4 linked regions of the Struthio camelus genome follow. The protein of the gene in region 3 purifies or fractionates together with the protein of the main gene of each other region. This does not show direct contact. Links are inferred from orthologs where the notes say so. Each region holds a gene or a part of one and is shown on either strand. Other genes may lie near its edges.

What was found.
Region 1: the proteins of PES1 (region 3) and NOC3L purify together in Homo sapiens (affinity purification with mass spectrometry; 3 studies listed by BioGRID and IntAct, counting the BioPlex papers as one, with this or other methods). This does not show direct contact. The link is inferred for Struthio camelus from reciprocal best matches to the Homo sapiens genes PES1 and NOC3L.
Region 2: the proteins of PES1 (region 3) and RPL7L1 purify together in Homo sapiens (affinity purification with mass spectrometry; 4 studies listed by BioGRID and IntAct, counting the BioPlex papers as one, with this or other methods). This does not show direct contact. The link is inferred for Struthio camelus from reciprocal best matches to the Homo sapiens genes PES1 and RPL7L1.
Region 4: the proteins of PES1 (region 3) and DDX27 purify together in Homo sapiens (affinity purification with mass spectrometry; 4 studies listed by BioGRID and IntAct, counting the BioPlex papers as one, with this or other methods). This does not show direct contact. The link is inferred for Struthio camelus from reciprocal best matches to the Homo sapiens genes PES1 and DDX27.

The regions. Positions count from the first base shown.
Region 1 is NC_090948.1:19,753,179-19,760,183, forward strand, and holds the start of NOC3L (nucleolar complex protein 3 homolog), read right to left. Parts: upstream 3,012-7,005; 5' UTR 2,905-3,011; coding exon 2,896-2,904; intron 2,674-2,895; exon of another isoform or gene 2,085-2,673; coding exon of another isoform or gene 2,076-2,084; intron 1,083-2,075; coding exon 875-1,082; intron 417-874; coding exon 290-416; intron 1-289. UniProt on the Homo sapiens protein: May be required for adipogenesis.
Region 2 is NC_090945.1:20,334,533-20,341,909, forward strand, and holds the start of RPL7L1 (ribosomal protein uL30-like), read right to left. Parts: upstream 3,018-7,377; 5' UTR 2,919-3,017; coding exon 2,905-2,918; intron 2,785-2,904; coding exon 2,676-2,784; intron 1,890-2,675; coding exon 1,726-1,889; intron 1,544-1,725; coding exon 1,406-1,543; intron 1,143-1,405; coding exon 1,033-1,142; intron 815-1,032; coding exon 606-814; 3' UTR 602-605; intron 300-601; 3' UTR 1-299.
Region 3 is NC_090958.1:4,713,704-4,720,734, reverse strand, and holds the start of PES1 (pescadillo homolog), read right to left. Parts: upstream 3,013-7,031; 5' UTR 2,949-3,012; coding exon 2,925-2,948; intron 2,722-2,924; coding exon 2,642-2,721; intron 1,246-2,641; coding exon 1,092-1,245; intron 645-1,091; coding exon 535-644; intron 1-534. Other genes in the region: TCN2 (transcobalamin-2), read left to right, coding at 6,985-7,031. UniProt on the Homo sapiens protein: Component of the PeBoW complex, which is required for maturation of 28S and 5.8S ribosomal RNAs and formation of the 60S ribosome.
Region 4 is NC_090959.1:19,662,433-19,669,797, forward strand, and holds the start of DDX27 (probable ATP-dependent RNA helicase DDX27), read right to left. Parts: upstream 3,007-7,365; 5' UTR 2,984-3,006; coding exon 2,651-2,983; intron 2,549-2,650; coding exon 2,489-2,548; intron 2,189-2,488; coding exon 2,032-2,188; intron 1,646-2,031; coding exon 1,599-1,645; intron 1,431-1,598; coding exon 1,344-1,430; intron 1,068-1,343; coding exon 962-1,067; intron 879-961; coding exon 705-878; intron 391-704; coding exon 240-390; intron 96-239; coding exon 1-95. Other genes in the region: ZNFX1 (NFX1-type zinc finger-containing protein 1), read left to right, coding at 3,996-4,050, 4,797-6,875. UniProt on the Homo sapiens protein: Probable ATP-dependent RNA helicase. Component of the nucleolar ribosomal RNA (rRNA) processing machinery that regulates 3' end formation of ribosomal 47S rRNA.

The sequences.
Region 1 (7,005 bases), on a different chromosome or scaffold from region 3:
GAATGAAGCATTTTTCTGAGTTTGAGGAATGCTACTTCTCTCACAGTTAGGGTTCTCACAGGAGCCAACACTGCGCAGAAAGAGTATCCTGAAGGTCAGACACGGCAGGTGAATGTACCCATAGACATGAACACATTAATACAGATTACCCTGAGAGACTAAAAAAGGGCTAAACTGGAATTCCAAAGAAAACTGACTCAAAGCGACCTCCTGATACACGTTATTACGTTACATATTAGCCACACACAGCTGAATTACTATGAAAAGTAGACATCGTAACAACACTCACTTAGAAGAAAGATCTCTGGTTAAAAATGATGCTTTCTGAGCCAAATCTTCCATTAATTTCAAGTCATCCTCATCCATCATGTCCAGTGGAAGAGCATCTTCCTCCTCTTCTTTGTCCTGTTTTTCAGCTATTTTAGAAGACAACAAATACAGATTAATATTCTGTACATATATTTAAACTGCCTACTTCTGTCAGGTAATTTTAGACCTCACTTCAACCTTGATCTCATCAATCTTCACAAACATTGGGCCAAAAAATCTTATCCCAGAAAACTGCCCTTTTATTGATCCCAGAAAACTGCCCCTTTATTGAAACACACAATGCTGATTATAGCAAACCTGGTTCTACCATCTCTGTCAGATCTTTTGTTGCCAAAAAGGCTGTTTTGTGTTTTTCATAACTTTCTTTCTTTCTTTTAACAAGAAGAGCAATTATTTATGCACGCGAAATTAAATTTTGATTTTCTGAAACAATTTTACAACATAAAGAGCAGGATACTAGTAAACCTCACACCTTTGCCTTCCTCTACAAAGAAAAAGCCTGAGATGTTAATAAATTCACTGCTCATAACAAAAAAGCACTTACCAACATGTTTTTTCTTGTATTCCTCCAATGGAACAGGTTTTCTACAGACAGCATCTCTGACAGCCTGCCTTAGCTTCTTTTGTTCTTTTCGATACTTCTTAGCAGCACTCTGCTGCTTATATTGCTTGTTCTTTAGTTTGTTGTCGAGTTTTATTTTACTAGTTCTCAATAACTTGCGAAAGCTTGGAACTCGTTTTGTGTTTTTTCTCTATGAAACAAACAGAAAACTACAAGTAACTGACTTGTTTGTAGCCCTTGTAAAATTTAATTTCACTATTTCATGTCTCACTAAGCACATATTTCCATCAGTGCTGAACAACTTGTTCCTTCCAAATGGTATCATCAGCTCAGCAAGTTTACCCAACTATGTTAAATGAATGAGAAGACAGACATTTCTCTTTTTTACAGAAACATTCTTTAACAATTCTTTTATTAAGCATAATACTCATCCACTTTCAGACACAGAAAAAATATGGATATTCAAAGTGTGGCATACAAATAGCCAAGATTCAGTTCTTTGGCTTGCGCACTCCCAAGCACTCCATCTCCTTTCTTCATGACGCTGTTCTTCCCTAGCCCACAGTAAGTAAGGTTAGGGACTCTGGTACAAGGCTACAGCCTCAGGCAAATGTCCTGATGCAGCACCCTCCTGTCCCAAGCTCTCCACGACAGCTATGACATGTGGAAGAGCCCAGGCTGCCCTCAGCAAGGCTCAGAACTGTGTGATGGAGAAGCTGTGAATGGGCTGCGGGTGCCAAGGATCATGGAGCCACAGCGGTCAGGAGGAGGAGAGGAAGGAGAAAGCCTGGATGCACAGATCAGTATGGGCACAATGGGCCAAAAAATGCAAAACACTCCAAGAAGCATTCAGGATCCTGAAAACGGACACGGTTTACATAATGAGCAGCGTGGGAAGGTAGGAACTGGAGTTAAAAAAAAAAAGAGTGATTTTAGAGTTTTGGTGAGGAAAGATGTGTCTCCTTGGTAAAGAGATAGGTGACCGAACCAGTGTGGAGCTCTTAGGTCTGGAATTTCTGTCGGTTCACCTTCAGTTTCCCCTTTTAGGTTTGGCTGTTGGGAAAGAGTTGAAGAAATAAAAGCAATCCATATCCATACCCTAGATATCAACAGGCTACTCTAAGCCTGAATGGACCCATAAGCCATTATTTTTATTGTGATCTCCTTCTCGTGAAGGACTTACCGTGTTCATCTTAAGACCCAGCAATCCCACACATCAGTGACAACAGCACTGACTTGCTTTTAAGGTTTTGTGAAGGCTGATGATACGAAAATGCCAAAAGGGTCAGCTCTTGATTCTAAAAGACCTCTGAAAATACTGCTAGTCAAATCCTCATCCTCTTCACAAGGGCTTTCTAAAGCTGACCCTTGTCTCTACACTAACCACATAAAACTAAGTGAGAATAGTTACAATTACCATCTACCTAAAAGTCCCTTTCGAGTTTGCTTTTCCTCTCCAGATACCACCTCACAACTCAAGTGCGTTTGAGCAAGAAACGCTGCAGGTTATCCTACTCTGCTAAAACTCTTATGCTATACCCCTCGTCTTAATGAACGACTCGACCGACATTTGCCACGCACGATCCGTTTCTCTCATATTGTAGTTCTGACAAAACCACCTCTCACAAGCGAAAGACAAGCCTTTGCTAAAAAAAGGAAATCTGCAGCAGAATGAGCACAGCTGCTGCCTACCCTCCGTACTCGCACGGTATTTTATCACCTGCCCTGCAACACCAAGAACTTTCCCACGCCTCACAGCCTCACGCCACACCTGCTCCGCCGCAGGGATGCGGAGCCAGCGCAGGAGGGCAGCCCCTCCACCGAGCAGCCCGCAGCCCGGCCGCGGCCACGTCCGCCCGGGCCGGGCCCGCCCCGCAGCCTCACACGGAGCCGCGGGGGGGGGTCCGGGAAACCGCCGCGCCGCGCCGCCCAGCCCCGGCGCGGGGCGGGTGGCCCCGCAGCGCCCCCGATCCCGGCAGCCACCCCCAACCCCCGCCTCCTACCGGCTTCATGGCGGCCGCCGCCCCGAGCGCGTGCTACGCCGGGCCCGGGCAACGGAAGCGGCGCGCGCGGCGGGACCCGCCCCTTGACGGCGGCGGCCGCGCCCACAGCGGCCCCTGGCGGCGGAGGCCGGGCGCGGCGCGAGGCCGTTGGGGGGTGCGCGGCCGTTGGGGGGGCCTCAGCGCTACAGCTTTAACGTCTGTCTCACCGTAGCCCGAGGCGGGGGGGGGGGGGGGGGGGAAGAAGGGCGTTAGTACCTACTACCACCGCGTTCGCAGTTAAGGCAATCTCCTCATCCCAAGCATTCCCCCTCTTCCCCCCCGCAACAAAATAACACGTTCAGCCATCAAGTTGGTTAGGGCAGCAGTGCTGAATGCAACGCTGCTACGTCCTTAACCGTTCTTTTTTTTTTTTTTAAAAAAAAGAGAAAAAAAACCACACACCAACCTTCTCCTACTGTATATTCATATATTACTTGGCAAGTGTTGTTATTTTTTTCTTTTGGGCAAACAACAGCCTTGAAAAGAACAACACAATATTTCTGCTATAAGTTTTATTTACACAGGAATTGTTACTAGTGGTCTTAAAGGAAGGCTTGATCCTTCTATTTACAGTTATATACAGAGATTTATACTTGAAAAGTAAGAAAACTGTACAAGTTAACACAAAAATATAAGACAAATTGAATCCAATTAAAGTAGTGAATACATAAGTTAAGAAAAATTTGACATTTAAGTTTCAAATTGTAATGTTATGAGTAATATATATGTAGTTTTGAACCAGATAGCAACGTAAGTTACACCACACTAATTAAATCTTTACCCCAAGTTACATAGACTCTGCTTTTAAACACCAGACAGCTGAAAACCTCCTGCACTTAAAAATATGCAATGATAATTCTGACTTGATTTCCACAGAGGGTCCAGTTACAAAAACCCACATGTAAGGAACCTATTTACATTAAATATTAGCAAAAATGGACCAAGAGAGTGCAAGTGTTCCTCACCTGCAGTGCTATCCATTTTAAATTCCCAACCTCCACAATCGAGAGTTGTACGGTGGATCTTTGAGAACAGGAAATGTTGAAAACATCTGCTGTGACATGTACTGTATGACATTATTTTCTCACCGTTAAAAGTTGCTAAAAGAATTAAGTATCATTAAACCATATGCTTTTTGCATTTCAGTATTGCACACTAATAAAATATAGTTTAAAAAAACTGCACTATTCTGAAGTGTTAAAGGTGGATGCTCCCTTGACAATACAAAGTCTGTAGATAGCTTTATCAATTTCTAGTGTTTACCATTACATACAAGCGTATCTTAGTTGGGAATGGCTTAATGAAATAAAACTTCTGGTGGCAAAACCCATTCACAGAATACCCACACCATTTTTAATAAGCTGCACAACTAATACACCAAAACAAAGGCTCAGCGCCATTCATTTTGAAAGCTGTACACACTGAGAACAGTCCTGATCTTATCGCTTTTTAAATTTCAAAAAAAATTTTTCTGTTGTAACAGGTTTGGACACAATACTTCCACACTTCGAGTTAATTATATTTGCCCAGACTGAAGCTGTAACTGAAAAGCAAGTAAATAACAATACCCCTTCCCAAATCTTACCCACCTGGCATACGCATACCAAACAACCTTATTTGGTCCTCAATACTTTTAAATAGTTAATTTTGGAGGTAATATTTGTACCCAAAGCATTTGGTCTGGATAGCAGTTTTGGGGCCTTAAGATTTAGCATTTTCCTCACCCCTCTCAAAAAGTGCCTTTGTGGTATTTGTAAAAAGTTATGCCTCAAAAAATTTTTAAAGTACCAACAGAAGTTATTACAAATGTTTATTGCATTGAGCTGACTCTTTTAAAATATTAAATATGAACTCCTCGTTTCTCAGTTTCATAGGTTTTAGTATGCTGTGTGAAAACAAATCTTTCCACAAAGAGCTAATACTGGCAAAAGGCTGAAGATTTCATCAGTTCATTACTTCAATGAGAGCTAAACTGTCTCTCTCATTTCTTGCACCATTTTCTACAGTGGCTTCCCACACAGATTTGATGCAAAAACTCCTTTTTCAAGTGGTTTCCCACATTTTCAATTGACCTCTACATTATGACGACTGGCTTTTCAGTGCTGGGCTATGGTTCTTGTCCCCTTCTTTGTTGTCCTTCATTAGTGAGGCAAACACCTGAAAATGTAAATTATTTAATGAATATAAACAGATTAGTCTTATAAAAACAGATCGAGATTAACAGTCACAGTACCAGCACAGAGACTACATTCAGAAATAGGACACTAGAGAGGAAGAGTCAATTAACACCCTTATCAGTCCCAGTCACAGAAGTTTTCCTCCATCTTAGGAAACATTCCAATGCAGAACTGATCTCAGGCTATTTTGCCCTTTTAACTTGATGAGGGTTTCATCTGCAACAATTCTGGTCCTTTGTTATACAGGTATTTTCCCATCAGCATTAGATTAATTCCAATACGGGGGACAGAGGTGGGAAAATTATGTCGACAGCCACAACATAAGATTGTATGAACAGAAGTTTTGTTCAAATGGGTCTACGCAACCTTAGGCTCTGCATTTTGGTCAGTCTCAGGTAGACTTCTGTTTAAAGTGTTCATCTTTCTCTTCCTCTTGCCTGGCATGTAAGTCTGCACTAGAAACTAGGGATTCTTCAGTAACTGTTTTATCGCTTCCCACATAAGCAAGTTTCAGTGCTGAATTTGTCTTCCAAAAGAAGGAGGGGAAGGAGTAATCACCAACAAAATCTGAGCTTCTCTTCAAATTCAAGATGCATCTCATGTCAGAGGTGAGGCCTCAACTACAGTATTAACCCTCACTCTGAAGTCAGACGCGCAGCATAAAGTAGTCATTAAGGGAAGTGCCCCCCGTAGTGTTCTGAGATTTATAACCGAAAACTCACCTGTGCCCATTTCTTGTTACTATTCTGCATCTGAATAGCTGCAATACAGCTAAAAAGCTTTTCTGATGTAATGTCTTCTGGAAGTTTTGTTAGAAACTGGGCTATATGAATGAAGTCCATCTGTAGGAGAATATCTTCATATAATCGAAGGATTCCTAATCCCGTCCTGAACAAAAATTCTTCCCCATCTCTGCAGAAGACATCCCAGACACGACAGGCCAGATCAAGTGGTAGTGACTTGCTGTAGAGTGTAAAAATCCTACATTAAGGGGGAAAAAAAAAAAGAACAGGTATAATTTTAATGTATTTCAGAAACATGAAAATACCACCTCCTTTAAATCTAAATTGGATTAGCTGAGAGCAAGCAGATGACAAGTTCTCTCTCAAGTGTTTGTATTTTTTTTTTATTTCGAAGATATACAAGTCCCCAGCTCTTCACATCAGAGTTCTGCTGAAACTTTTCACGCTACAGGAAATTCTCCATTTGAAATCAACCTCCTCTAGGAAGCTCTAGCTAGAAAAGTTACAAGGATCTTTGTGCTCAAATAGGGCACAATATACATAGGGCACAATATACAAGGGCTTATACAATAAAGATCAAAAATGTGATACTTAAACCCCCTTTTTTTTTTTTAAGCCATGTAGTTTATGAACAGCTCTATTCATCATTTGGTTTTTAAACTAAGCCTGAAGTTTCAAATCTTCCCTGTAGAAGGCTGGAGTGGTAGGCTACAGCCCACAAACATAGTAATGAGAATCTGGCAACTACATTTCCATAATACATTTCAAGTTTACATCCAAGTTAAAAATCACCAAAATCTAAAGACAGGCACTCTTTCTACTCTCTGTTCTATATAGGACTTGTTTTTTAAATTATGAAGCTTATTTTTAAAAGCATTCATTAGATGTGCTGTATGCACCATACCGCATAAACCCTTCCATAAATTTGTAGCAGTTCCACTGATGCAAGGCATAGCATTCCATTTCCCCCATTATTCACACTAGAAAGCAGTTCTAGAACCTCAGAAGACTCCTAACCACTGAGACTACTACAATCCTCCTGCATTCTCTTCATAAAGAGAGCTCTTTATCTCAACACCATTATTGGAACAGGTGCAGGAATGTCATAATCTTAATTTACTGCTGATAATCAGAACATTCTATTGCTTTAC
Region 2 (7,377 bases), on a different chromosome or scaffold from region 3:
ATGCTTGTTGCCAAAGTTAGGGGCAGGAGGTGGCGGATACAAAACTGTAGTAAAGCATCTAAAAAATGTGTTTTGTTGACACACAGAAATGGGCTTGCTCCAGAAAGTTCAAGTCACCTCTTTGTTGCACCAAATGCACCTTTTCTTCTTCCTCAACATAGGCCACCATAACACACTTTAGTAAAAAGCCAGCAACAGTCAGGAGAGGGTTGTAATATTTCATAGCACAGAGCCAGATGTCCATGAAAACTACATTTGACAAGGAACAGCTCATAAATCCTAAAGTTTTCACAAAGACCCTGCAGAACACGAGACCAAAAAAAAAAAGTTTAACAGTCAATTTAAAACAGCCTCCCTTAAGTCAGGCCTTTAAGAAGTCCAGTAGTATTTGCCAACGCCTGACAGGCCCCACAATCTTCACATTGACAGCCATTCTCATTTCCCTACAAGTACTTAAGTTTCCTCTGCCTTGGACAGTCACTTTTGTACAAGGAAGAATCAAAAACAAAGGAGTCCTTCTCATCTCCGATGGCAGTAGAGCTACTCTTAGGAAACCAGATAAAGGGTAAGATTTAGAAGTTACCCTACAGGTGTTCCTCACCTCATCAGTTCAGCTGACGTATAAGCTGGTTGATTCCTTCACCTCTGCAGCCAGGTTTGCCCATTTCCTTGAGGAAACCCACTTTATTATGTGCAGCATGGCGAGCCACTGACAGATGGAACGGCCACAGAAAGTCTGTGACTTTTTGAAAATATTTCCCAGCTGAGTAGATTTCATGAATAAGATCTTCCAGGCAAATAATACCACAGTCTCCTGCAGGTAAAAAACAATTGTAAAAAAGCCACACACACAAAAGGGATGCTTAATTGTGGTATCTTTCAGCACACCACCCCAGAATCCTCAGTCCTCCACATACATGCCTATCCTGTAACATTTTTCTTCCTCCTCCCTTCCCTCTCGCATCAGATTGCAAACCCTCAATATTCCCCTCTTTCCTTGATTCACTTTATTTTTCTCATCTTCCTCCTCACCTAAATGTTCCTCTATCAACATATTGTCTGTCAGAGGAACCCTCTTCTTGTTAATCTTGGCTTGACCCCGTTTCAGAATGAGCTCTCGTACAGACTTCAGGTTAGGGTACCTGTAAAAAAAAATGAGATTTTGATAATGACAGAGATGAGGCAGCAGGAAGTCCCTCATCTTTTTATCAGAGTGGGAAAGTAACCATTGTATGTTTCGAATGATGACAAGGAACAAGTACAAGTTTTAGATCTTAAGTTGCCAAGGCTAGGACCTTCCCTGGAAAGCCAGGTATGGATTTGATGACATTGTGATACCATAAGGAAAAGTCAAAAAGCTGTATTTACACACTATTTACTATTAAAGCATCAGAACAGCACTCACCCCCATGCCACATAAGGTTCCACAATCCGCAGCATCTTTAGAGATAACGGAGTCAGTTTAACAAACGTTCCACTGAAAATCTTTCTCAACCGAAGCAACTCAATCACTCTTCGTACCTTCAGACTCACTCCCTTAATCCTGAAACAGAAAAAATGTTATCAGTAACTCTCTTTCTCTAGTATAGCAAGAAAACAGCCTCAAATTACCTATAAGAAGACATGTCCACACTGATCACACTTTCTTTACTTAGAAATAGCATGACAGTTACAAATCGCAGTAACAATAAAAGATAACAAAAAAAGATAACAAAAGTTTCTTACTCTACAATTCGTACGACAAAGGCTAGTTTGTGCTCCTGAGGTACAGCCACCTGCCCAGGTCTCTGTTTCATGCGCCTCAGCCGGACTTCGTCTCGGTGTTTGCGCCATGAATCTCGAACAAAAGTCTCAAGACGTTTAAACTGGATTTGTTTCCCTTTCTGGTGCTAAAGATAGAACGGTAAGAAATGAACACCTTTCCCAACATTACCACCTCTGCATCTTATAAGTTTACATCTCAAAGGTCAAATTAAATTCAGAACCTGAACTATGCTCTTCCAGTTTGGAGGCAATAATAAGAAAATAATTTTGAAAATATAAGGCCAAGAGGGACAGAACCGATGGACTATAATCGGATCAAATTCCAAACTTTAAGCAGTTAGCTCTAATGCATAAACCGTGAACCAATAGAAGTTTTCCCCAGAACCCAAGAAATAAGTTAGGATAAAACATAGAGCAAGACCTAGAACATTTGTAGGCACAGGAGAAACAGCCACAGGATTCATTGCACTTTGAATGCTTACGCTCAGCTCAGAAACAAGTATTTGCCATCTTCCTAAATCATACCGCTTTCTGCATGAGGAAAAATTCAATGTGCACAGCAGTTATCCATTAACACTTTAGATACAGAAGCAACTAAATTATCAGGGCATTTTACAACTAAGCTACCTAACGTTATGCATCCTTGATTCAGTTTCACCTCACAAGCCACCCACGCAGAGAGCTTAAGCTTTCAAACCAGGCAGACGCGATCGCGCTGTCAGCATTAGGGTCATTTTTCCCCTCAAAAGCTGGCTACTTCACGTTACCCCTTGTGCTTCCGCTCCCCCCATGGAAATACAGCCCGCAAGCCGCGCTACTCAAGGACACGCACACAAGCCCGCGACAAACAAAAGCAGCAGGTTTTGGCACGCGATGCCCTCGCAGGCCGCTGCCGGCCCCCGCCGCCGTACCTTGCGCTTGCTGAGGAGCGCCTGCTTGGCCTGCGTGGCCTTCAGCGCCTGGTAGGCCTTCCGCTTCTTCAGCAGGTTCTCCGGCACCAGCGGGATCCTCCGCCTCGGCCTGGCCGCACGAGAAGCCCGTTAGACCCCCCGCCACCGCCACCGCCACCGCCGCCACCGCCTCCCCGCACCCCCGGCCGCGGATGGCGCCGGATGCCCCGCGCCGCCCCGCGCCACTCACTCGGCCTCCGCCATCTTGCCGCCGCCAGCTGCTCGCGCCGCGCCGCGCCGCCACTCCCCGGCCCCGCCCCCGGCAACGGCCAAGGCAACGGCCGTCGCCGCCGCGCGGCCGCCGCGGGCAGCGCGTCACGGCCCCGGCCCCGGCCCCGGCGCCGTGCGGCCGGGCAGGAGGCTCGGCGGGGCTGCGGGGCTCCTCCTCAGGCCGAGAATTACCGGGCAGGGTCTCCCTGGGCGTGAGGCGCAGCGTCCTCAGCCCGCAGGTGCCCTCAAAGGGGGATCATCTAGAGACCTTGGGTTCAGAAGTAACTTCTCGGGCAAACCAAACTGACGCTAATCAAACAAGGGTTACAGCCCCACGGGGGGAAATCCCTACCCGGGAGCCAAAAGTTTCTCCAGGGGAAAGCAGAAGTCAAAAGCAACCCGAACAACCTGTTTTCCCCACCTGGGAGGCAGGGCAGGCCGAAGCGCTGCCTCCACGTCCCGAGCGAGCGTGCCAGGGTCTCTGCCCCGTCCGCTCCTGCCCGCGAGCAGCGCCCCGGCTCGCGCGCCCCTCCGCGTGGCAGGAGGCGTCTCCTCTCCCAGCGCGGCGCTCATCCACCTCAGGAGGCCTGGGAGCAGCTCTCACGGAGAGAGCCCTCCTGCCCCAGGAACAGGCTCTTCTGCTCACCCTGACACAGTAACAGGCCCCGGTCACCTGCACGGCTCCCACAGCAGCACCGGGGCCAGGCAGCAGTCCCACAGGGGTCACACCGGCTGTTCTCTCCAGTGACAACCACCGAGCACCAGCGGCCAAGGGCTCTGCCGGCTGGGGACCAGCTCAGGGTGCTCGCGAGGTTGCAAAGAGCCAAGAGAGAACATCACACCTTGGAGGAAACCAGCCTCGTTGGCCAGCCACAGGCTGTCTGTCAGGACAGTCCTGGCTCCAGGGCACTCAGCAGCAGGGTGCCCAGCAGCTCCCGCTTGTAGGAGAGCTCCATGATCTGGGAGCCCCCCTGGATGGCACAGATGACCTTGGTGACACTCTGGGTCAGGGTCAGCATTAGCTGCAAGTCTTGCATCCGGGGAGAGAAAAACACAGTGACACCAATGAGTCACTTTCCGCCTTGGAAGGAAGCAGCTTTCCCAGCTGACTTCCAGAAAGAGATCCCACAGACTCTGGCCTGGAGAGAGCAAGTCTGGCAGGCCTGTAATGGGAAACGTGCGCAGGAAGGACAAGCAGCAAGGCTCACTTGTGTAGGACTGGCTTGGGGAGAGATAGCGAAGCGCAGCACCTTGAAAGCGAAAAGGGAAACAGTGGATGGCAATAAACTGCAGACCACTGACATACAGCAATGGCCCCAAATCACCCAGATACTGCAAGACAGAGATGAACCAGAACTGCTGCGTCCTCCTCATCCTCCATACAGGCAGTGTGCAGTTGCCCTGGAGTACAGTTGGGGGTCAAAGGAATCTCAGAAAAACCCCAGCATGAGCAACCAGTGGGATCTGGAGGGGGCCGCAGCACAAGGAGGTCTCTCCAGGTTTCATCTGGGTACCAGTGTGCTGGTGCCTTCCTTAAAGCAGGGAATGGGGCAGCCCTTTGGGAGGACTGGGAGGACGGTGTGGGGCAGAGCTCCGTCCGGTTTGCTCCCCTGCTGTCCTTATCCATAGAGCACTGAGATCGGGGGGGTAAGGACAGGCCCCCGACCAGCCTGGCAGAGAGCAAGGGGACAGTGTAACCTTACAGCCTCCAATTCAGGATGGACCATTTTGGAGAGACGGGCGAATCCCTTCTCCCAGTTAGCATAGATCAAAACCTCAGAGCAGGAGACTGAAGGTGCCGTATTATAGTTGGCCGGCAAATTTGCGCAGGTTGATGAAAATGAACTCCGAGATCTCCCCCAGGACCTTCAGGCGGCACTGGAGCTCACACAGGACGTCACTGAAGTGAGATTGGGCCAGAGCTACCAGGACATCACTATCAGCCGACCTTACATCATCTGTCACACCGTAAAAACATGAGCAATTAATTCAGCGCTCAGCAGGAGAAAGGCTGAGGCAGTTGGACAGGCTGAACTGGCCAGCAACAACCACCTGACTCCAGCTCTTGCTTTCTACGTTGGTGCTAATAGTGAGATAATACCTATTCTCTTCTGCGAGAGCCCATGCCCTGGGCCGTGAGACTGGCCTTTGGGCCCCGGGCAGACGAGAGCAGCTGGTGGATCGCTTGCTCTTTGTGAGTTGTGGGAGGCTTTTCCCTGCCACAGCCACAGCGTTGGCTCTGCTCCCTCCCTGTGGAGAGAGCAGTGAGTGGGAGCAGAGCAGCTCCCAGGAGGTACCAGGAACAAACTGTCTCAGACTCAGGATCCAACAGGACACTTCTGTGTGACAGGAGCCAGCCTGGCAGTTTCCCATGGCTCTTCCTCAAGGCAGGGAAATAAAAGATAACTTTAACCCAACTGTCCGTCATTTATAACACCTGTCAGTCCACCTCTCTGCACAGCTCCTGGTATCACCACACCAAATCCATGAAAAGGATGAGTCCACAAAGTATTTCTCTTCACTTTCTGCACTGCTGAGTGCAGAAAACATGGCCTTGCGTTGTCCCAGCCCAGTCACAAGATGTGGGCACACACATTGCTTGGCATATGGGAGCTGTTCCCGCTCTGTGCATGGTCTGAAGCAGAGCTACCTACAGTCTTTTCTCTACAGGGAGGTGCTCCACCGGGGGAAGGATCTGCCATGGGGCATCTGCAAACCTCTACCAGGTCATAATGCTAGAGACATCTTTAGAGCCATTCTACATTTTACAAAATCAGGGCTCTGGTCAGGTGTCTCCGGTTACCTTCAAAGAGAAGCAGCTCAGCTGAGCTGCTCTCACAGAATCACAGAATGGTTTAGGTTGGAAGGGACCTCTGGAGATCATCTAGTCCAACCTCCCTACTCATGGAGGGTCCTCTAGAGCGTATTTCCCAGGATCGCGTCCACATAGCTTCTGAATATCTCCAGCGAAGGAGACTCCACCACCTCTCTGGGCAACCTGCGCCAGTGCTCTGTCACCCTCACAGTCAGTAAGTTTTTCCTCATGTTCAGATGGAACTTCCTGTGTTAGCTGTTTGTGCCTGATGCCTCTTGTCCTGTTGCTGGGCACCACGGAGAAGAGACTGGCCTCATCCTCTCGACACCTTCCCTTCAGATACTTGTACACACTGATCAGATCACCTCTCAGTCTTCTCTTCTCCAGGCTAAACAGGCCCAGCTCTCGCAGACTTTTCTCACAGGAGAGATGCTCCAGTCCCCTCATCAACTTGGTAGCCCTCCGCTGGACTCTCTCCAGTAGCTCCATGTCTCTCTTGGACTGGGGAGCCCAGCACTGGACACAGGACTCCAGGTGAGGCCTCCCCAGGGCTGAGGAGAGGGGCAGGATCACCTCCCTCGACCTGCTGGCAACACTCTGCCTCATGCACCCCAGGATCCCATTGGCCTGCTTGGCCACAAGGGCACACTGCTGGCTCATGTTTACCTTGTTCTCCACCAGGACTCCCAGGTCCTTCTCTGCAGAACTGCTTTCCAGCAGGTCAGTCCCCAGCCTGTACTGGTGCCTGGGGTTATTCCTCCCCAGGTACAGGACCCTGTGCTTGCCTATGTTGAACTTCAGGAGGTTCCTCTCCGCCCAGCTCTCCAGCCTGACCAAGGTCCCTCTGAATGGCAGCACAGTCTTCTGGTGTGTCAGCCACTCCCCCCAGTTCAGTATCATCAGCAAACTTGCTGAGGGTGCACTCTGTCCCTTCCTCCAGGTCATTGATGAATGCATTGAACAAGACTGGGCCCAGGACTGACCCCTGGGGGACACCGCTAGCTACAGGCCTCCAACTAGACTCTGCGCCACTGACCACAACCCTCTGAGCTCTGCCATCTAGCCACCTCACCATCCATTCATCCAACCCACACTTCCTGAGCTTACCTACGAGGATGTGATGGGAGACAGTGTCAGAAGCCTTGCTGAAGTCAAGGGAGACAACATCCACTGCTCTCCCCTCCTCTACCCAGCCAGTCATTCCGTCATAGAAGGCTATCAGATTGGTCAAGCATGATTTCCTCCCTTTGGTGAATCCATGCTGACTACTCCTGATCACCTTCTTGTCCTCCAGATGCTTAGCGAGGACCTCCAGGAGGAGCTGTTCCACCACCTTTGCAGGGATGGAGGGGAGGCTGACAGGCCTGTAGTTTCCTGGCTCCTGCTTCTTGCCCTTTCTGAAGGCTGGAGTGACACTGGCTTTCTTCCAGTCCTCAGGCACCTCTCCTGTTCTCCAGGACCTTTCCAAGATGATGGAGAGTGGCCTAGCGATAACATCCGCCAGCTCCCTCAGCACTCGCGGGTGCATCCCATCGGGGCCCATGGATTTGTGGATGTCAGGTTTGCACAAATGATCTCTAACCTGATCCTCCTCCACCAAGGCAGGGTCTTCCTTTCTCCAGACTTCCTCTCTTGTCC
Region 3 (7,031 bases):
CCTCAGAGCACAACTATTTTCAGGGCAGTGTCCGTCTCTCAGTGCTGTTTATCTCCTCCTTCTCCACCCCAACACAACCAGGCCCTAGGCACCACTGAGACAACTAACAGGCCTGCCAGAGCAGGTTCCCTCTTCTGTGGGCCCTCTCTTCTCTCATTGCCACAATGCACTTTCCGCCAGCCCTTACTCCAAGGGTGACCTGAGAAAACAGGAGGAGAGCTCTCAGCGCCTTCTTAGAGATCGTGGAGCCTTTTACAACGGCCAGGAACTCTCTGCTCACTAATGCTTTGTTACAGCCAGCATATAGCTCACTGTATCCCTCTCCACTAACTCAGAAACACCAGTTTACCAGTCAAACAATTCCCAGAGCTGCCATGGGAGCTGGAGTCTTAAAGGGGGACGGACAGAGCAAGGGCTCCACAGGCTCCAGTTCAGTTTACTGTTGATAACAGATTCTCACGAAAGAGGATTTTCTCCTGCATCTCCTCCACACTGACGTCCAGGCAGCAGTGCGACCAGCGGGTGGTGGCTCACCTCTCTTTCACAATGTGGTCAAGTTTGTAACTGGGCTTGTTATCCTTCAGCCGCTCCACAGTGCTCCACTCACTTTTGCCATATGCTTTCCGGAGTTTCCGGACAAACACCTGCAGGGCAGAGAGGGGGAAACTCAGGGCTCCCTTCCAGGGAGAGGATGGAGGGAAGCGAAGCCCACCTCACGTGGTACAGAAACGTAGCCCTTGGACATAAGGGCCTCTCTGATGGCTTGCATGGGCTGTTGATGGGTGCAAGGGCAGCTTTCAGATGTAAGGTGCTGCCATGCAGCTTCTTTGGGAAGAGCTGGAAGCAAATTAACTAGCTACCTATCACAGCTAAGCCCCCAAACTTCCCCACTCCACTGCTGCACATGGTTAGTCAGCTCAGCTCCACTGTACCTTGCAGAAATAAGCCAAGCCAGGGCCACAAACACTCATCAGAGCTGGAAACAAGAGACAACAGCCTCGAAGTGAGACGATCTCATCACCCTATCCCAGACTCAGCCACGAGAGGGCCCCATGAACTCAACCCCCAAAGCTCTTGAGCACTGTAAATACCTTATACTCCCGGAACTTGTTGACGATGGGCTCATGAAGGAGGAATTTGATATCTTTGAGGAGATAGAAGGTCCTGGCTGCAGTGGAGCCTTTGTTCACCTTCTTCTTGTGCTTGGGCTCATGGGGGTAAATCCCCTTCAGGATACAGAGGCGCCTGTTAATAGAGATGGAGATGAGACACGCTGTATTTCAACATCCACTCAAAGTGAGAAATGAGAGGCAGAAGAACTTTAAATTTCTCTTATTCCATGTCACCTGCTAGAAGAGTTTAAAGTGATGCGGATGCAAAGTTGGGCTGTCCAAGAAATAAAATGCTCCAGACCCTTTTTATAGCACTAAGGTGACCTGCACTGACACTTTTCCCACCTCATGGGAAAAGAAACAAGTTGAACTCTGCAGTCTGAAACATCAGGACATACAGGACAAATAACTATGCTCCATTTCCTCCCTGCATCCCCACGGTCTCAGTATGACACCACTGCCTTAGTTTTGGTCACATCACCCTGTGAATCCTGAGCACATGCTGCATGGCTCCCCTACTGGCACCTTGCAACAGAGTGTGTGCGTGCGTGTGGATGGTGGTATCCCAAGAAATCTCTGCTGCTGCTTCTGGAAGCAGCCAAGATCCTTCCATATTGCTGAGCACAGCCACCGACCGACACTCAGCCGGGGCACGATTTGTCACCCCACCAAGGCAATCACGTGCCTTAGTCTCTTGGGTAAAGCAATGGTTTCCTCTAATCTTGCTGTGCTCCTCAAAGCATGTTCCCAGGGAGACAAACATCTCTGTCTGTCTGTTCTAGGCAGCTACTGAAGAACACAGCCGAGGTACACAAGCTGCAGCCTGTCTCCACAGACAGTAGCAACGCACCTGAAGAATTCAGTCTGTTTCCTTATCCAGTTCCCAACACCCATGAACGTGTGGGACTGTCAACTCCTTGGTGCCCCACTGCGCTTTGCGACAGCCTAAATATAAACATTACCTTCCTGAACCCTTTCTATGGTGTGTCCTGAGAAGGACTAACGGGACATCTCCAAATTACTTCTGAGTGATAAATATGCTTTTATTAAAGTTTCCAAATCACACCTGGGATCCCGGGTGTGCACAAGTTAAAAGCATGGATTCATCCAGTTCTTTTGAACCACCATTCTCAAGAAGAACTTCAGAAAGGGCTCTCAAGGGTGACCCCAGGTTTAGATTACAAACTTTTATCTTTTCTGAAACACAGCAGGGCTCAAGGCTGCCTAAGGAAACACCTGAGTCCAGAGAACCCGTGAGGCAGCTCCAGCGGAGAACGTGACGCTCAGCTTTACGCACAGAGCCTCAAGGGCCTCATTCGAGCTGACTCCGCTTTCACGGACCGCTGGCCGGCGTCCTAGTCCCGGGGCAGCTCTGAGGCGACGGGCGGGTTGAGCGGCAGGAAGCTCCCTCGCTCGGGCAGAGCAGCGGGTGGGAGAGGAAGCCGCGGGCCGGCCGCAGCTGCCAGGAAGGGGCCGCGGGGGCAGGGGCGAGGCAGCCCCGGAGCTGGCCCGCTGAGCCCCCCGCGTACCTGAAGTCCGGCAGGCTCAGCTGCAGCTTCTTCCGCGCCTTGTTGCGGGTGATGTAGTTGGTGGCAGAGCCGCGCTGGTACTGGGGGGAGAGAAAGGGCGAAGGTCAGCAGCGGCCCGGGCACGGCCCGGCCCCACCGCGGCCGGGGAGCGGCCGCCGACGGACCGCGGGGCCCCGCAGCCCCCGGGGCCGGCGACCGCCCGGCGGCCCGGCCGAGGGGCGGGGGGAGGAGGGGAGCGGGGCCGGCGGGCAGCGGCGCGGCGAAGGGCCCCCGCGGCCGGTACCTTCTTCTTCTCCAGCCCCCCCATGGCGCCGCCGGCGGCTCCGCGGCCGCTGCCCCGCGTGGCTCGGCGCCCCGCCCCGCCCCGCGCCACGCCGTGCCGAGGACCCGCGCCTGCCCCGCCGTGCCTGCTCGGAGCCGCCCCTGCGCCTGCGCCTGCGTCCGCTCCCGCTCCTGCTGGGGCCGGGCAAAGCCGCGTAGAGCCGCGGCGAGCGGCGCGGGAGGCGGCGGCGGGGGCGGCGGCGGGGGGGGCGGCGGCGGGGGGCGCGAGCAGGCGCGCGGCGGGCAGCCCGGATGGACGCAGGCCGGGCGGGAGGGGGCCTGCGGCGCTGGGCCCGCTGGGATATATCGGGGCAGCGCGGCAGGGCACGCTGGGACGTAGGGGGGCACGAGCGGCGCAGGGTGTTGTGGGGGCTCGGCCCGGGACAGGGAGCGGGGCGGTGGCGGGTCCCCGGTTACCCCGCCTGACAGGGGCCGCGGCAGCCGGGTTGTCCTGCGGGCTGGCAGGGCGCCGCGGCGCCCCTCCGGTGCCGGCTCGGGGCTGGGGCCCAGGGGCCTCGCCCGCTCCGGACCGGGCTGTGGGGGGCTTGGCGGTGCTGCGAGCCGTCAGCTCCCTTAGGGGGACTGGAAGAACTGCGGCAGCCGGCGCTTAGGGCCTCGAGCGAGCGTAGGGCCTCGTCCGCCTTCGTGTGCTAACGCTGAAACACGCCGTTTGGCATTAGGTGTGCCTTGTTGGGCTGGTTGTTGTTCTCCTTGTGCTTGCCTTGCAGAAAAGCTGCACCTCCCCAGGCTCTATCAGCGTAGTGAGCTCCTGCTTGAGTTCATCTTAGGGGTAAAGTTTGCCAGAGTTCAGCTATTTAAAGCTCATCCCAGAGCGTGCTTTAGAGACTGGTCTCTCTGTGTAATTTGAAATCTGTTTCTTTCTCCTTGGTGTTTTCCACATTTTAATCTCCCTGTTCTTCATGGAAGCAGCCAACTGCTGTCCCCAGCAGCGATGAGGTGGCTTTGCAGGTACCTGGGCTCATTTCTGGCCTGTTGTGTGAGTATTTCCCACAGGGTGATGGATGCATCTGGAGGAGTTTGGCTGTCCCAACCTGCTGGGACAGTGTCCCGACACATAGTCGGTGCCCTGACTATGTGTGCTCAAGCCCCCAGGCCCAGAGCTGCTGTGCTGTGGCCTCGCTGAGGAGGATTGGGAGAGCTCTGCCAGCTGCTGGGACTTGGCTCCTGGTTGCCCCTTTTGTTCTAAGGGAGGTCCCAGACCCGTTCCTGACCCTAGTGCTGCTTTTACCCCGCTCCCTGTGCTTCTTCCCTCAGCCTCGCAACCTCACTTCCCAGCTTTCCTCCTTATTGCTGAGGAAACAGAGTGGGGTCTGTAACTGTCCAGACCTACTGGAGATTTTTACTAGGTTTTCCATCCTGTGCTGCTCTGATTTAGGTTTTTCTCTCTGTCCACACACGCAGCTATGCCAACACCACAAACAAGTCTGTTCTCACTTCAGCCGGTGTGTTCAGTCCCTGTAGGGTGGACTGTTAAATAAGCAGCTGAAGATGAAAATTAGCCCTTCCCCAGGAAACCAGTCAGAAATAGGCAGCAGAGGAAAAACATCTGTGCCCTGCCTGTGCTACCTCTTCTCCATGATTAATCCTGCGGTGTTTTGTTTTAAACTCCCATCTCCTGGAAACGAGATCCCAGTATAACCTTGGCTCCGCCTCCTTCCCCCTGCCTTTTTGGTTTTAGATGAGTACATAGTCCTCCAGACTAAGAGATGAGGAAGAGGCGGGGGAAAAGACAGAGGGCCTGAGAGGTGAAATGCCACAGGGCAGGCTCTCAGGTGGAATTTGGGGTTCCCTGCTCATATTGCTGCCCCTTTCCTATCATGAAAGTTTGGAAATGCTTCGTCATCTCCCAGATCTCTAGCAGCATGGCTGTAGTCACCCTCCCCACCATTGCTCAGTGCAACGCAGACCTTGCCAGCTCTTCTCTCATCCCAGAGAGACGCTGAGTGCCACGCCACTCCTGCTGCAGTCGGGGATGCTCAGGGTCAGCCCGGGGCTGTGGTGCTGACTGCGGGCAGAGGCTGGCCCTGCTGGCTTCCTGGGCACAGGGAGCAGACCTGAATGTACACTCAGCCTCCAAGCTGAGACACGTCCTGGCTCCCCAGTGCTCAGCTGTGCAGTGTCAATGAGCCCTTATAGGCGTTTCAGGGTTGCAGTCCCCAAGCTGGAGGCAGGTGAGGCACATCTAAGAGGTTTTGAGGCCCTTAGTATCTCATTTGATTCCACAGGTGAGATGTGAGTTCATTGAACGCAATGTGGGGCAACAAATAACGTGAGCTCAGAGCTGATTCGTGGTAGGGTGAATGCCGAGCTCTCTGGAGCTCCTTGTTTTCCCCTGGGTAGTAATTGCACCCTACTGGCACTGTGGCATGCAGTGTCCCCCCTACATGCTTCAGCCAGGCTAAGCTGCCCTTCCTACTTGCTCCACCTGTCCCAAAACACCCTCCCTGCATGCTTCATCTTTCCTGAATTGCCCTTGAATCCATCTGAAATGCCCCTGAAGAAAGCAGCTGACTTTAGCATCTGGAGGAGACGGATATCTGACTGTCAAGAAACACAAGGTCAGAAGCCCTATGACCGATTGGGAGAGTCCCACAAGCTGTTTCTCTCTGCACCCCAAGACCCTTTCTGGGTCCTTCCTCTGGTCCCTGCTGTCTGCAGTGCTCAGGGAAGTGTCCCAGGACCCACATCCATGGGACAACTATCTCTCTCCAGCTGTAGCCATGGGGATTTACCGTTTGCGGTTCAGGCACAATGGCATCTCTGTATTTCTCTGTGACACATCCTCCATCAGGGCAGACAACAGCATGCCCTGCAGACAGGCTGTTTCAGGGCACCAGCTGGCACGTCCTTCGTCTCCATGTCTTGAGCATCTAGAAGGAGTTGCTGGGCTTGGTGCCATGGTGGCTCCACCGCAGCTGGGGACAAAGCCATCCATGTCAGTATGAATTTTTGGCCTGCTGCTTTCTCCCACAGTGGTTGGGACAAACACCCTGAGCCGCCTGGCTGAGGCTCCCTGGAGCTCCCAGTGCCTAGCCAGGGCTGGGGCAGGTTGGCCCGGAGGACGTGGCTCCCTGGCACGACATGGTTGGATGTGGCTGCTGAGCGACAGGGGTTTAAAGTGCCCTGACTATGTGTGCTCAGGCACTGAGGTTGGTGTGGTTCAGCACCCGTTACACCCATTGCTATGCCCGTTACCAGGCTGCTGAGGCAAATGGGCTCCCCTGAGGAGCAGAGAACTACTGCTTTCAAGACAGGAGTGCCTGGGCAATGGTCAGGCAGTACAGGGTGCTCATGCAGGGTGTCCTGGGTTGCCAGGATTTCCCGTGGGTCACAATGAAGTGGGACAGCAGGGCCTCCAGCAGGACAGACCATCACCCTGGCACTTTGCGTAGTGCTCCCCTGTCTGAGTTGTGCAGTTTAACTCTTGTTTTCTTCAATAAAAATCCAATTCCAGACGAGAAGCTGAGTTATTTCCTTTAGAGGCTGCAGGGATGGAGGGCTCAGTATTTTTTTTTTCCCTTTGCTAAAACTGGTGGTGAATTTAACCCTGACGCATGGCAGTTTTGGTCCCCTGGTACCTGTGCCCTGGCCGGGGTGCAGACAGCAGGCGGGCCGTGGACGTGAGCAGGCGCTGGGGCTGTTTGCCCCAGGTCAGTAAGTGCACTGAGAAGTGGCCTGGAAAGGACAGGGCTTATCTGGCAGCGGGAGGAAGCAGGAAGGGAAAGCAGCTGTGACCGCTTTATCTCTGCCCCGGCGCTCTGCAGCTCTGCTCCCGCGTTTCCCTGTTTCGCATCCAGCCAAAGTCCTTTCCCGTTTCTGCTGACTCGGCCCCAGCCTGCGGAAAGCGCCTCTTACGACACCTTCCTGTCCCAGGCGGTGCCTCGGCTCGGCTCGGCACAGCTCGGCCGGGCTCCGCGCGGCACTGCCGGGTCTGCGAGCCGAGCCGCGGCGCCCACCGCCCTGCCCGTCCCCCGCGTCGCCGCTGCTGACCCCGCGCCGGCATGTGGCACCTCCTCGTCCTCCTGCAGGCTGCGGTCCTGCCCGCCCG
Region 4 (7,365 bases), on a different chromosome or scaffold from region 3:
CTGTCATTGTGGCAGAGAAGAGCATTGTCTGACGGTGTTTGGAGCACAACCTGATTATTTCCTTCATCTGCTCCTCAAAGTACTCATCCAGCATCCTACACAAGAGAAATATAGCAAAGCAGCTTGAATGGTTCTAGCCAAGGCCCATTACTTAGGGCAATAACCACTGCCCTATACCCTGGGGAAAGGAAAACGGGAAGCCACCATTTCCTTTTTCATTACTGTTCTGCCCAGCTTACCTATCTGCTTCATCCAAAATCAGCACTTCAATACTGCTCAGGTGGAAAGAGGGGCAGTTGTGCAAATGATCAATCAGCCGCCCAGGAGTGGCGATAAGAATGTCTGGCCCAGAGCGTAGAGCTGCTTCCTGAGTCTTCACATCTAGGCCACCTGAAAGAGAGTGAACATGGACCACTGACTCCCTGAGCAGGATTTAAGAGTACACAAACCCAAATACTCTGAAGACTGGGAAACAATTATGATTAATACCATGTTCACAATTAGAAATGACCACCTTTCTTTTATCAGAAAAAAAAAAAACAGAATTGCACGCTATTGGAAAGTGAGAACTTAAACTATAGCACACCTACTCAAAGCATGCCTGCAATAACCATACAGCCTCCAGTTTTAAAGCACAGGATTCCAAGTGCTGTACAGAAGCTTGCAGTGAGATGTATGGTTTACTTAAGCAACTTAATGCTCACCTACAGCAAGGCAAGTTGTGATGTTGCTAAACTGTGCCAACTGCTTTGTAACAGAGTGCACCTGAATACCCAGTTCTCGAGTTGGCACCAGAACCAATACCCGCGTTATTGGAGCCTGACGAGGTTTATAAATCAGGCGCTCAAGTACAGGCAGGACGAAGGCAGCTGTTTTACCTACAGAAGAAAATGAAGAAGAATTACTAAGCTATTGTGGATAGTTAATTCTCCATATTTCCTACCGCCTGCTCAATTCCTACCTGTCCCAGTGGCAGCACAGGCACAAATATCCTTCCCCAAAAGGCCCACTGGGATACAAGCCTTCTGAATCGGGGTTGGTTGCTTGAAGCCAAGAGCTGTGATTGCCTACACAGGAGATAGAGCAGTTAAACACTTTACATAAAAAAGATAAGCGTCACTCAAGATAGCACTGACATATATTGCAAATCAAAGAATGGTTTCTATGACTCTGAAATAACTCTTTAGCTCTTAAAAGGCTAACTGTCATACCATCCTCTACCTCACATTTCCTGTTCAGAGAGGCTGCAAAGAGAGGAAGAATTTGACAGTTTTGATTGGTGGAGGGGAAGCTGTACATTTTCTACAATAGAAAGCTACATAGTAAGCAAAACAGCTAAATACCTTTAGTAAAGGCCGTGAAAGATTCATGTCCTGGAATGACAAGTTATCGTCATATTGAGAGGCATCTTCAAAAAAGCTCTCTGCTTCCTAGAAACAGGAACAACAACAAAACTGGAACAACGTAGGCAACAACAAAACACATCACCAAAAGCTTCTGGGGCGTTCTGTGACCTACGGTTTGCTAACCAAAGCGAAATTACTTAAGATAAATCACTAGAGAACAAACAATCTTGTGTCATTCTGTCCAACACTTACTGCTTCTCCCTTTTTCCATCTCTTCCGTTCCTTCACTTTGAGAGTATCTGCAGAGAAAGAGAAAAGTGATGGAAATTAATCAGCACAGCTAAACACTTAACAAGATGCGGTGCCTGTTCTCTTCTTGTACTTTTTGTTCTTAATGTGTCATTGATGGAAAAGCCTCAGAAACTAACATCAGACATGCAACAGGGTAAAACGCCAAGCACACATCTTCCCTTAGGGCCAACTCCACATAAAAGTACTATGGCTACAATTCAGAATAAGCTTGATCAAGACCAGAAGTAGCATCACATAGGTCTGTGGATAAGACAACACAAATTAATAGATTCTTGCTTGCTCCCTCCCAAAGTCTCACTAGAGACTTCTCTCCACTGAGCCAACAGTCTGTCAGATCCTTGCTCCTGACCACCTCTCTGTGTACTGCTAATACCTGCTTTAGTGAAGATACTTTCATCATCTAACGAGTTCTGGGACTCCACATCCTCTTCTTTCTCTCTATTGAAATCCCCGCTCTCTCCTTCTTTGATTTGATTATCCTCAGTCTTTGTATCTTCCTCTTTCACTTTTGTTTGTTTAGCTTCTTTTTCCTAGGAAAAGATATGAAACGAATGGTTTAAGAAGAATAACAAAGAAACTTCAACCCTTTATGAGTTTTTTTTTTTAATTAAGAGCCCATTCAGAAATGCATGAGTTTGTAAAACCTCAAGCATAAAAAATTCTGCATTTTCAGCAGGAACCCATCAGGTATGCCTGCAAAAACAGCCAAGGTGCCGAGCTGTGGCTTGGGCACCGAGACTCAGGATGTTTTCAGAGCCTGTGCCTCTGACGGGGGAAGCTATGGAAAGCCAAACCTGTACCGCTCTAGGCACTAGGAGAACATCCCTGACCTGGATCCTCCTTTTCTGTCTCACTTTCTCAATCTTCTCGTCCAGTGTTGTGGCTGCTCTCTAAGCAGGAAATCAGGAGAGAGGCGCCGTAAGAGAAGCCCGGCAGAGCGCGGGGCACAGCGGCCCCGCTCCCGGCCCCCGCTCCCGGCCCCCACACCTCACCTTGCCGCGGAGCTGGCGCAGCGCCGCCGCCCAGGCGCCCTCTCCGCCCGCCTCCGCCTCCCCGAAGACGAACGCGGCGCTGAAGTCCCCGCGCGGGGGGGCCCGCAGCCCGACCCGGCCCGGCTCCTGCAGCGACACCCCGTGAGCAGCCACCGCCGGCCGGGCCGGCCGCACGGAAACGAACAGGCCGGCCCGGCCCCACGCAACCCAGCCCGCCCGGCCCCGCTCCCGGCCCGGCCGCACCTGCTCATCCTCAGAGTCCCCGGACTCGGGGTCCTCGGGCGCGGCGTCCCCCTCCGCGATGGTCCCCACCAGGCCCAGGCGCTGCAGCATGGCCGCCGCCCCCCGGAAGTCGCGTCCCGGAAGTCGCGCGCCAGCACATGGGCGCAGGGGCATCGGCGCGTGCGCAGAGCCGCCCGGGCCGGAGGATGGTGGGCGGGGCGATGGGGGCCACGCCCCTCCCCGCCCCCGGGCGGAAAGGAAACCGAAAGTGGCGGGGGCGCTCGGGCCGCCGGCAGCGGCGCTGGAGGGAACCGACCGACCGGAAGGAAGAGAGGCCGGTACCGGGGATGTAGCCTGCGGGGTCTGGGGGCGCGGGAAGGGGACGGTGCTGGGGAGGGTCCGCTGCCGGCGGGGCCCGGGGTCCGGAGTGGGGACGGTGCCGGGGGATCGCGGGGAGGGGACGGTGTGGGGGGGGGTCCTGGAGTGGGGACGGGGCCGGGGGGTCCGGGGAGGGGCTGGGGCCGGGGCCGGGGCCGGGGAGACCGTGGGGAAGGGGCGGTGCTGGGGGGGGCCGGGGAGAGGACTGTGCTGGGGAGGAGGCGCTGCCGGCGGGGCCCGGGGTCCCGAGTGGGGACGGTGCTGGTGGACCGCGGGGAGGGGACGGTGCGGGGGGGGGGGGTCCTGGGCTGGGGCCGGGGGAGGTCCCGGGGAGGGGATGGGGCTGGGGCTGGGGCCGGGGGGACCGCGGGGAGGGGACGGTGCCGGGGGGGGGTCCTGGGGGGGGAGGAGCCGGGGGGGGCCAGGGGCCGGGGGGACCGCGGGGAGGGGGCGGTGCCGGGGGGGCCGGGGAGGGGGCGGTGCCGGCCGGGGGCGGCGCGGCTGGGCGCGGCCGCGCCGGGAACTGGAAAGCGAAACTTAGGGCCGGGGCGGCGCGGAGTGGTGCTGGCCTGGGGCTCATCCAGCGGCCCCGGCAGCCGCGCAGGGCAGAGGGCTGAGCTCCGAGCACGACGGCGCCGGTTTTCTGCTCGCGGCGCAGGTGCGGTTCAGGCCCGGAGCACGGAGCAGAGCCCTCGCCCTGGACGGCCGCGGGAGCCCGGCGGAGGCAGCACCGGGGCCTCGAGCGATGGACGGCGCCGGGCAGGAGCCTCGCTCCTGGCAGCTCCGAACTGGCGGAAGAGGTGAGAGCTGCGTGGTTAACGCAGGGCAGCAGGTCACAGAACAGCTGGGGGATGATGTGCTACAGTGTGACCCATTCCTTCCTTGCCTGTGCGTGTGCAGTATGATTTCCTCTGAAGTGTAAATTCTTGCATTTCCTTATTTGCCTCCTAGATTCTGATCGGGGCCCTTAAAGTGATGATGCATTGCAACAATCTCTTTGCTAATTTATTCTGCTAATGTTCAGTACGTCTCTGAGTATTCAGTTGAGGGCTTGATAAAGACTGTACAGCATATGCTTTCTGATACTGTGATGGGTCAGGCTTTGTCCAGAAGATCTGTATTTTATCTGTGCTACATAAAGAAAGCCAGAGCCAGCTGCTGCTGTTTTTTTCATTATTTAAATGACAGCTAATTCCAGAGGAAATCCTGTCCTGCATAGGAAAATTCACCTCTGCTCTTTCTTAATTCTGCTTTCTGGCCTGTGGAAAAGGTGTTCTTTTCTTAGTATCTTCATGAATTAACAGTGTACGTGAACTCTAGGCATGGTGCTTTTTTTTTTTTTTTTTTTTAAATGGTCAGAAAAAAGGGTACCAGGGAAACACCAACATAAAGGCCTAGGTGTAAAATATATATATTTTGTTTTTAATATGATGCAAGATGTCCAAAATATGCTGACTGCCAGGCCAAAACACTCAGCTCTTGTATTGGGAGACAAGTTAATATGGTTGATTTGTAATTAAGGAGTACCTCTATCTTTTCTTTGTAGGGCATGCTGATCATCGCTTTACACAAACAGGCAGGAACAGAATAAACAATGGCTCAGGCCAGGCTCACAAGAGAGTAGCTCAGGCTGGGGAAAACCCCCAGGCTGGTAATTACCCTCTTCTACCTGGGCAAAGAGAGGAGAGCTTTGGTGGCACTGGCTGGTTCTTTAATCAGGGACGAAGAAACCAAGGTGGACAGGCCAACAGTGAGTCCACAGGGCACTGGAATGGACAGGAGAATGAGGGAAGGGGAAGGAAGTATCAAGGTGTACAAGTACATGAGCGGGCTGGAGGACCCTGGAATGAGCAAGACGGTGAAGGCAGGGGGAGGAGGTATCAAGGTGGACAAGCACATGAGAGGGCCAGAAGACCCAGGAATGAGCAAGAAAATGAAGGTAGAGGAAGGAGGTATCAGGGTGGGCAAGCACATGAGAGAGCCAGAGGACCCTGGAACGAGCCAAAAAATGAGGACAGGAGAAGGAAGCATCAGAGCGGACAAGCCCACGATGGAGCTAGAGGGCTGAGGAATGGGCAGGAAAATGAAAGTAGAGGAAGGAGGATGCAGCCTGGGGAGAATCCTCGTTTCTACCAGAACCCTACCCCAGGTGGTGCCCAGCTTAGTGAGCAGCCTCAGCAAGCCAAAAGGATTGGCTACAAATTCCTAGAAAGTCTCCTCCAGAAAGACCCTTCTGAAGTTGTCATCACGCTTGCTTCCAGTTTGGGTCTGAAGGAACTTCTTTCACAAACATCTATGAAACCTACTTTCCTTCAGCTCATCTGTCAGGTGCTTCGAAAAGCATGCAGTTCCCGAATGGATCGACAGAGTGTCCAGCAGCTTCTTGGAGTGGTGAAGGAGTCCAACTTTCTCAAGATTTGTCTGCCGCAGTATGTGTCTGACATTATAACTGAGGCAGTCCCTGCTGTACGACATCAGTACCCTGAGCACATTGGCAACATCATCTCACTTCTTCAGGACCTGATCAGTATTTTTCCAGCCAGCTCTGTACAGAAAATCTCCATTCTCTTGACAGTCTTGCCAGCATCCATAAATGTTCTGCGAGCTTCTGGTGTGGATATCACAGAAGAAACGGAGAAGAATCTAAATAAGGTCCAGATGCTTGTGCAGCACCTGCAGGAGAAAAGACGTGAAGGCACACTGAGGGCTGACAACTATACGCTTATGCAGCCTCAGGCTGATGGTCAGGAAGAAACGTACCGTACAATGACCATTTATCCAACATATAATGAGGTGCATCATGATGAGAAACCCTTTTTGCGCCCCAATATTGTTTCTGGAAGATATCAGAGCACTAGCATTTATCTTGATACTCACTTCCGTCTTCTGAGAGAAGACTTTGTAAGGCCTTTAAGGGAAGGTATCCTGGAGCTTTTGCAGAACTTTGAGGACAAAGGTTTGAGAAAGAAAAAATTTGATGACATCAGGATCTACTTTGACACACGTATTATTACCCCCCTCTGCTCCTCGTCTGGTATTGTTTACAAGGTCCAGTTTGACACAAAGCCATTGAAGTTTGTACGATGGCAGAATTCCAAACGGTTGCTGTATGGATCCCTGGTCTGCATGTCTAAAGATCACTTTGAAACATGCCTTTTTGCTACTGTCTCTAATCGCGATAGTGCAGATCTGGCCCAGGGAGTTGTGCAGCTATGTTTTAATGCACAGAGCCAGGCACTGCTGGCAGAGGTTCAGCCCTCAGACTCCTTCCTTATGGTAGAAACAACTGCCTACTTTGAGGCCTATCGGCATGTGTTAGAAGGGTTACAGGAAATCCGGGAAGAAGATATTCCATTCCAGAAGTACATTGTGGAATGTGATGCACGTGTGAAGGAGCCAGCATACCTAACAGTGGGCACTACCTACAACTTTGCACCCTTGATGGAAGACCCTCCAAGAGATGAAGAGATGTACCCTGATGGTTTGAGAAGGCAGAGTGTCAATGTTCTAGATCCCAACCAGTGGCCTTCAATGGAAAGTTTGAGATTAGATGAGTCTCAGATGCAGGCACTGAATCTTGCACTCACCAAGGAGCTGGCTATTATCCAAGGACCTCCTGGGACTGGTGAGAAACATTTGCTTTAGATGTCTATCACTTAGGAAATTCTACCTGACTCCCCCAGTTAGGAAGACTAACTGAGAAAGTCAGCTGCAGTGTCTCCAAAGCTTTATGCCCAATTGATGCCTCAGTAGCCCAGTTAGTGAGAGCTGTGGGGAAAAAGGTTAAAATATCCTCAAATACCCATATGTACCTCTAAGTCAGATATGATCTTACATGTCACTGACCTAGCTGCCAGTAGACCCCGGGCCGGGTTTTGGGGTGGAAAAGTTTTCAACTGTTTTGATTCCATGCTGTCTTTAGCTGAGCAACTGCTCTATTAGTCTTCATAGCATGTTAGAAAATCGGGAGTGTTCAGCTCTGGTGCTCTAGGTGTACAAAGCATTGCAATGGTGACTGCAAGCATGTGTAAACCCTCTCACAATTGTTGTGGGGAAGGTAGATGAATTTTAACTATTCTAAATGGGACCTGAACTCAGCAAGCAACCACTGCTTT